2 linked regions of the Macaca fascicularis genome follow. The main gene of each other region encodes a partner of the protein of the gene in region 2 in a complex. Links are inferred from orthologs where the notes say so. Each region holds a gene or a part of one and is shown on either strand. Other genes may lie near its edges.

Region 1 (4,470 bases), on a different chromosome or scaffold from region 2:
GGAAAAGATCAATTTAAAAAATTAATAAACAATAGTACAGGCAGTACTTAGCTATATAGAAATCAAGAAAACAGTCATAGATGACATTGCTTTATGATCAACTAAATGAATCTATTAGGGTAGAGTCCTTCTGTTGCTAAAAATTGTCACTACTCTATCAGAAAAAGCACTGATAAACAATGTTGCTAATGTGCCTTATGTTGAAATATAAAAGAATCCCTAAACTGACGCTACAAGGGACAGAAGTCCTAGGATTCTGAAAACGTTGATAAGGGTGCCAACAGAGAGCCCTTGCCCTGGAGCTGCCTTCTCCATTTATTTATTTATTTATTTATTTATTTATTTTTTTTTTTTTTGAGACGGAGTCTCGCTCTGTCACCCAGGCTGGAGTGCAGTGGCCGGATCTCTGCTCACTGCAAGCTCCGCCTCCCGGGTTTACGCCATTCTCCGGCCTCAGCCTCCCGAGTAGCTGGGACTACAGGCGCCCGCCACCTCGCCCGGCTAGTTTTTTGTATTTCTTAATAGAGACGGGGTTTCACCGTGTTAGCCAGGATGGTCTCGATCTCCTGACCTCGTGATCCGCCCGTCTCGGCCTCCCAAAGTGCTGGGATTACAGGCTTGAGCCACCGCGCCCGGCCTGCCTTCTCCATTTAAAAAGCAGGGGTGGCTGGGCACGGTGGCTCGTGTCTGTAATGCCAATACTTTGGGACACCAAAGCAGGAGGCTCGCTTGAGTTCAGGAATTCAAGACCTGGATGTACAAAACAGCAAGAACCCATTTCTATTTATTTAAAAAAGAGCATGGGGTTCCAGGGTTCTACGCTGCATCCTTTCTATTTCCATCCCTCACATATCTTGCTTCCATTAAGGAACACAGGAGGATCATGATGTGAACTGTGGGAAACAAGAGTGCAATCACTGAGAAACCTGCAAGAACCTGGGCTACCAGGAGGAAAAGTATTTCCCCTACACATGCTTTTGTATGAGAAGCCTATAGCCACTGGCTTCAGATATCCTGGCCTCTGGGTTTCTCCCACGGGGAAAAATGCTCACATCTACTGAGATAAGAAAAAAATGTTCTGGGACCTGGCACCTTACAACTAACGCCTCCACAAGCACTGGACCCATACCTTTCCCTGCTACCTCATCTTCTTCCAACGGAGACTTAAAACCTATGAAAGATAAAAACTCCTCTGAAACTAGACTAACCATGGAATTAAACATAGTGGGAAACGGGTCCTAAAGAGATAAAGTGCCTGGAACCATGATCTCCTTATTTTCAATAGCCTCTTTTTCCCTCTGGACCCAAGATCTTAAAATGGGCAAATTAGAAACAGACACAAGCTGGTCTAACTGCATTTGATGGCTGAGGGAAGGGTAGGCAAAAATCTTGGCCGGTCGCGGTGGCTCACGTCTGTAATCCCAGCACTTTGGGAGGCCGAAGCGGGCGGATCACCTGAGGTCTGGAGTTCGAGACCAGCCTGACCAACATGGAGAAACCCCGTCTCTACCAAAAATACAAAATTAGCCGGGCGTGGTGACGCATGCCTGTAATCCCAGCTACTCCGGAGTCTGAGGAAGGAGAATGGCTTGAACCCGCGAGGCGGAGGTTGCTGTGAGCCGAGATCGCGCCATTGCACTCCAGTCTGGGCAACAAGAGCGAAACTCCGTCTCAAAAAAAAAAAAAAGAAAGAAAGAAAAAGAAATAAAGAAAAATAAAGAAAATCTTTAAAAATACTGTTTCCTGATTGCTTATAACACACTCCCTCTAACCCTGTCTGCAGGTGGGTCACAGTCCAAAGACCCTATTTCCAACCCTGACGTCCCATTGCGGGCAGTACTATGGCCTCACGGGAAGGAAAATAAATCTAGAAGGGAATGAGGTACACAACCATTGATAGGTTCCTGGGATAAAAACTTTGCTTTGTCGGCCGGGCGCGGTGGCTCAAGCCTGTAATCCCAGCACTTTGGGAGGCCGAGACGGGCGGATCACGAGGTCAGGAGATCGAGACCATCCTGGCTAACACGGTGAAACCCCGTCTCTACTAAAAATACAAAAAACTTACCCGGGCGAGGTGGCAGGCGCCTGTAGTCCCAGCTACTCGGGAGGCTGAGGCAGGAGAATGGCGTGAACCCGGGAGGCGGAGCTTGCAGTGAGCTGAGATCCGGCCACTGCACTCCAGCCTGGGTGACAGAGCGAGACTCCGTCTCAAAAACAAACAAACAAACAAAAAAAAAAACAAAAAACTTTGCTTTGTCGACACCAGCCTGGCCAATATGGTGAAATCCCATTTCTACTAAAAATACAAAAAATAGCCGGGCGTGGTGGTGGGCGCCTGTAGTCCCAGCTACTCGGAAGGCTGAGGCAGGAGAATCGCTTGAACCCAAGAGGCGGAGGGTGCAGTGAGCCAAGATCGCACCACTGCACTCCAGCCTGGCGACAGAGCGAGACTCCGTCTTAAAGAAAAAAAAAAAAAAAAAAAAAAAACTTCGCTTTGCTTTCCCGCCTTCCAAGAGGAAGGGGCGCATCTCCGAGGAAACAAGGCCGGGGAACCCGCGGCTCGCACGGCATCCTCTCATCCACACAACCCGAGGACAGCTCCCAGGGGACGGCGGACCACGGTCAAGGTCCTCTTTTCGGCCCTTCACAACTCCAAGCTCCGCCCTACAAAACCCCCTGCAGTCCTACCAAGTCACTCCCATGGCGTCGGGCCAGGAAGGCGGCCGGATCACACGGTAGAAACGCAGGGTTCCCTATCCGCCCACAGAAACTGCTTCAGTTCCCCAACACAACCTTCGGTCTCGGAAGAGACTCCGGAAATACGTAAAAACAGAGCGCCGGGTCCACGCCTTCCCCAAGGAGTGGGGCGGGTCTCAGGGCCCCTCGGTGACACCTCTAGTGACATCATCTGCGGATTCCCGCCCACAGGTTTCTAAATCCAGACATTCTCGTTTGGCTGAGCACTCTAGGCCTAGACCCATGAAGCTAAGAGCGACACTCAAAGACTGCACTGTTGAGAGAAGCTAACGTTAAAGGCTGTAAATATATTGGGGAGTCCAGCACCGGAACCCGGGAGCTCTTTTAGTGGGAGGGGCGGCGCTGATGGCGCTTCTGGCCTCCGAATGCTAGGGGGCGCTGTGATCGCCGCGTGGCCTCTTGAGAGCCGGGAGTCCACCGCGCAAGCGCAATCTGGCTTTTTCGCCGTCTCCACGTGCGAACCTCCGCGGCAACGTTTTCGAGAAAAATGCCCAAATTGAAGGCGGCCCGTGGGGTCGGGGGTCAGGAAAAACATGCGCCCCTGGCCGATCAGATCCTGGCTGGGAATGCGGTGCGGGCAGGGGTCCGGGAGAAGCGGCGGGGTCGCAGGACCGGAGAAACGGAGGAAGAGTATGTGGGACCCCGGCTGAGCCGGCGGATTTTGCAGCAAGCACGGCAGCAACAGGAGGAGCTCGAGGCCGAGCATGGGACTGGGGACAAGCCCGCGGCGTCGCGGGAACGCACCACGCGGCTGGGTGAGTGTCTGGGATGAGATCCGAGGAAGACAGTGGCCAGTAGTGGGGCGGGGTGGACAGCTAAAAAGTGTCTGGCAGGGGAATTGCTTCGAGTCAACAAAGGGTCCGTATTACACTTGCAAAAGTAATGGAATGGGAGACTGAACCCTGTTCAGAGCCCTCCGCGTCCACTCCTAGTTTTAGGCACTCCCTTCTACACATCCCCTAAGTTAGGCCAACAGTAATCGCTCGCTCCACCCTAGCATTTATCCATTGGTTTTGTAAATATATATGGGATACCCACTACGAGCTTTGTACTATGCTCGGAGTTCTATCGAATGTTTGGGTACAGAAGTAAACAACATAGGCACGTCTGACTTAAGGACCTTACAGTCAAGCCCAGTAGAGAGTCAATTAAGTAGACTCTTAGAATAATATTTTTCTATGATAAAGTGTCGCTTCCCTGGTAACAATAGCATTGGTCTTGAGAAGCTTCTCCGATTGCAGCAGGACCTTTTAAGTTGAGAACTGAAAAACGAATGGGAAGTGTTATGAGCAGAAAACACATTGTTTAGCAGCCAAAGAGGGAGAGAGATGAAAGACGTTTGATATTTTCTCGCTAGGGAGGGAGTGTTGACCTCTGAGATGCTTCATCCGTTTTCCAGATCTCATCTAAAGCAATATTTGACGCAATTGAATAGTGGCCTCCTGGCCACAGTATCCTTACTTGGGTTTTAAGACATCAACACTCCTGTTTTACTGCCACCTCACTTCTCAGTATCCTTGACTGACTCTTATTGCAACCTCTTATCCTCAGTCCTCTGACCTCTTCAAATATTCTCTGGTGCTGGCAAGTTTCGTGGTTTAAATACCATCTCTTGGGTGACTACTCCTAACTTTATAGTCTAGCCCTGACCTCTTCCATGAAATCCATATTCTTATATTCAACTGCCTATTTGGCAACTCCAATTTAAAATCT
Region 2 (4,278 bases):
CGAGGCAGGTGGATCACAAGGTCAGGAGATCGAGACCATCCTAGCTAACAGGGTGAAACTCCGTCTCTACTAAAAGACAAAAAAAATTAGCCGGGCATGGTGGCGGGTGCCTGTAGTCCCAGTTACTCAGGAGACTGAGACAGGAGAATGGTGTGAACCCAGGAGGCGGAGCTTGCAGTGAGCCGAGACTGTACCACTGCACTCCAGCCTGGGCGACAGAGCGAAAATCTGTCTCAAAAAAAAAACAAGAAAATCTTCTGGATTCCACACCCTTCACCATTTATGCCCCCATTTCTCTACTCCTCCATAACCAAACTACACATGTTGTCTCCCAATCTCGTATCACAATCACTTTTGCTTTATGTTACAGATTGATTTCCAATAGCAAACACTTACTTGTATCTCTCATAAACACTGACAAAATTAACACTGCTAAATACTAAACACATGGTATTATCCAAAGTTCCTGAATGAAATGATTCAGTTCCATATCCTTTTTGTCACAGTAAACTATGCAATTTTATATGGACACATTAACTTTTTTTTTCTTTTTTTTGAGACGGAGTCTTGCTCTGATGCCCAGGCTGGAGTGCAGTGGTGCGATCTCAGCTCACTGCAACCTCCGCCTCCTGGGCTCAAGCAATTCTTCTGCCTCAGCCTCCCAAGTAGCTGGGATTACAGGCGCACACCACCATGCCCGGCTAATTTTTGTATTTTTAGTAGAGACAGGATTTCGCCATGTTGGCCAAGTTGGTCTCTTAATTCCCCACCTCAGGTGATCCGCCCACCCTGGCCTCCCAAAGTGCTGGGATTACAGGTGTGAGCCACCGCGCCCGGCCTGTATGGACACATTAACTTCCCTACAACTATCACAGAAATTTCAAACCCCAGGTTCAAACCCAGTATCTTCTATGGCCATAATAACCTCTACTTACTCTACCTTAAGCCTAGATATACCATCCAATGAGAAGATTCTGAAGTGCTCCTTTACACTGGTATTATCAAAGTTTCAAGATATAACACCCTCTAACATCAGGTGGGGCAAGTATTCTATTAGAAGCAATATTATACTTAGAATTCGTGAGGTACTAAGGGCAGGCATGGTGCAGCCCTGAGTTTCCACCATGCCACAGTAGTGCATAGGATGATGCAGCCTCGACCTCCCAGGCTCAAGCCATCCTCCCACCTCAACCTCCCAAGCAGCTGGGAGTACGAGGCAAATGTCACCACGCCCAGCTAATTTTTGTATATTTTGTAGAGACAGAGTTTTGCCATGTTACTCCGGGTGGTTTTGAACTCCTGAGGTCAAGCAATCCTCCTGCCTTGGCCTCCCAAAGTGCTGGGACTACAGGTGTGAGCCACCACTCCCAGCCAACATTTTAAAACTTATAACATAAATTCAGATTACAGAAAAAGTGCATGCATATACAAAGAACACTTCATATTCTTCACTCAGATTCTCCAAATGTTAACATTTTCCTTCATTTGCTTTATTGGTTTCTCATTCCTTCACCCCTGAATACTTCAATGTGTTTTCCCAGGACAAGAATGTTTTCTTCTACCCACAGCACAATTACCAAAATCAAGGAATTAACATTGATCTGGTACTTCAAAACACAATTTTTGACACCTTACGTTTCATTCCACTCAAACCTTTTTAGGTGACGAGTGCTGCTCTGTACTTTCCTACACGATGTGCATTCCTGTACTTAGGTTGTCATTTTCCTAAGGCAACTACGTGACAGATACTGTTGTTTTATGGCCTCTCTAACATAATCTTCATAACAATTCTATGAATTAAGGTTGTTTGTTTTGTTTTTTGAGACAAGGTCTCAATCTGTCTCCCACGCTGGAGGGCAGTGGTATGATCAGGGCTCACCGCAACCTCTGCCTCCCGGGTTCAAGGGATTCACCTGCATGACCCTCCTGAGTAGCTAGGGACTACAAGTGTGTGCCACCACGCCCAGCTAATTTTTTATTTCTCGGTAAAGACAGGTTTTCACCATGTTGGCCAGGCTGGTCTGGAACTCCCGACCTCAAGTGATCCGCCCACCTCGGCCTCCCAAAGTGCTGGGATTATAGGCGTGAGCCACCACAGGGTCCCATGAATTAAGTTCTATTATCAATTTCATTTTAGAGGTGAAGATCCCAAGTCTCAATGAGGGGAAGTGTTGCCCCAGATCAAAAAGTTAATAAATGGTACAACAGGAATTCTTATCCCAGGTCCCTTTAGCTCCAAAGGGCAAGCTCTCTTATATCTCTAAGCCGTGAAGCATCTAATTGTACAATTAGAACTTGCATATTACAAAAATTATATTTTTCTCTACTGTCTCTCTAGATGGAACTTTTCAAAGGCGATGGAAGTCTTATTTTAATAAAACCAGAGCAAAGCATCATAACTGGTTCTCAGACTCAAGATCCAACATCTAGTGTTTGTTCTGGGGGAGAAGGCGCCTCACCAGAAGACGACAGATATTCCAGGGTCCCAGCCCCAGAGATTTGATTCATTCTGTCCACTGTGAATGGGCCCTGGTATGTCGCTTTAAAAACCTCTCCAGATGGACCTGACGATTAGGCTTGGTTGGGATCTACTGCCCTCGCCTGCCCCCGTATCTCAGCTGTTTCACAACTGCTCCCAGAAGAAGGAAGGGCAGGGAGGGCTACTCTCATGTTACAAAGGGCCAGAAAGGGCAAATAACTCGCCCAAGGCCACACAGCCTAGAAAAACAGCGGCGAGGGGACTAGACACCACGTCTCCCAACCTCCACTCCGGCTCGGCGTCCCCACACGGAGGAAGCCCTGGGACTGCAGCGCTAAGAGCCCCCTCCTCCAGGCTGTCCATCCCGAGACCTCCACGAGCGGCGGGGAGGCCGCGCTCTCGGAGAGACTCGGGACAGAAAGACGAGAGAGCGTCTTCGGAGGCCGAACTCCTCCATGCCTCCCCAGTTCCCAGCCCAGCACAGAGGAAACCGCGGGGTCCGGAAGAAAAAAACGCACACACGCAGGGGCCCCAAGCCGTTGCCGCCCACTCACCTCAACTCTGGCTTTACACTGGTAGCCGCCTTCCCCCTCTGCAGCCGAAACCAATTTCCGGTCTCCTCCTGGAAGAAGCCACCGACTCTGTCTTTGATTGGCTGTAGGAGCTGTCCTTTAACGAGATTCTAGATCCGCCTCAGACCGATCGCTCGCTATTGCGCCTGCGTATATTCGACTCCTGCCATCGCCACCCCTTTTACTGACTTTTAAAAGTAGTAAGTGAGGGTTGTTTCTTCGTTTCTTTAAGGCATAAAATTAAACAAGACATCTTATTGCTTTATTTTTTATAGACCCCTTATTGACTAGAAAAAATCTTATATTTTAATATGTAACATGCTCTTGTAAGACTTCCATGAATTTAGACATTTATGACGCGAAAATAACCTCCCAAAGAAAACCTAGCAAAGGTTGTTCGTGTGTTCCACCCGCTGCCCGCATTACAACTCTTCTGCTGACAGTCGCAGCTGGTAGTTCCATTCCTTTTGTCTTTTCTTTTTTAATTTAACCCATACAATGAAGACATCTTACATAAAAATTCGAAAATACAGATATGCAGGGTTTTTTGTTGGTTTATTTTGTTTTATTTTTTTTTTTTTTTTCTTTGAGACGGAGTGTCTTTCGCCCAGGCTGGAGTGCAGTGGCGCGATTTCGGCTCGCTGCAACCTCTGTCTCCGGGGTTCAAGCGATTCGCGTGCCTCAGCCTCCCAAGTAGCTGGGATTACAGGCATGTGCCACCACACCCGACTAATTTTTTTTTTTTTCCTTTTTTTGTATTTTTAGTAGAGACAGGGTTTCACCATGTTGGTGAGGCTGGTCTCGAGCTCCTGACCTACAGTGATCCGCCCGCCTTGGCCACCCAAAGTGCTGGAATTACGGGCGTGAACCACGTAGCCCGGCCTCCCCCATTTTAATTCCCCCGCACATATAAATTTATTTCCTGAAGAAATTCATCCTCACTGCTGACCCCAATATGTCCTGCACCCGTGACTTCCAATGCTTGTTCCCAGTCCTCGTTTTACTCCCTCTGTCAGCAGCATTTGGCACATTTGATTATTTGGATTGCCCCAGGACTCAGTTCTCCAACCACTTCTCAGTCAGATATCACCCAGATACATGCAGGCCCTGGAACACCGTTTCCTCTGCACTTCAGACCCTCATATCCAGTGGTGACAGACATCTTTACCCCGTTGCACTTTACTCAATTGCAAATGTTCAATCTAAGGAATCACCTTTTTCTCCTTT

The links.
Region 1: MED7 (region 2) and MED20 share a complex: the UniProt entries of both Homo sapiens proteins name them as parts of the mediator complex. The link is inferred for Macaca fascicularis from reciprocal best matches to the Homo sapiens genes MED7 and MED20.

What each region holds. Positions count from the first base shown.
Region 1 is NC_088378.1:129,647,599-129,652,068, reverse strand, and holds the start of MED20 (mediator of RNA polymerase II transcription subunit 20), read right to left. Parts: upstream 2,804-4,470; 5' UTR 2,703-2,803; coding exon 2,689-2,702; exon of another isoform or gene 2,066-2,688; intron 1-2,065. Other genes in the region: BYSL (bystin), read left to right, coding at 3,245-3,512. UniProt on the Homo sapiens protein: Component of the Mediator complex, a coactivator involved in the regulated transcription of nearly all RNA polymerase II-dependent genes.
Region 2 is NC_088380.1:163,931,616-163,935,893, forward strand, and holds the start of MED7 (mediator of RNA polymerase II transcription subunit 7), read right to left. Parts: upstream 3,093-4,278; 5' UTR 3,034-3,092; exon of another isoform or gene 2,638-3,033; intron 1-2,637. UniProt on the Homo sapiens protein: Component of the Mediator complex, a coactivator involved in the regulated transcription of nearly all RNA polymerase II-dependent genes.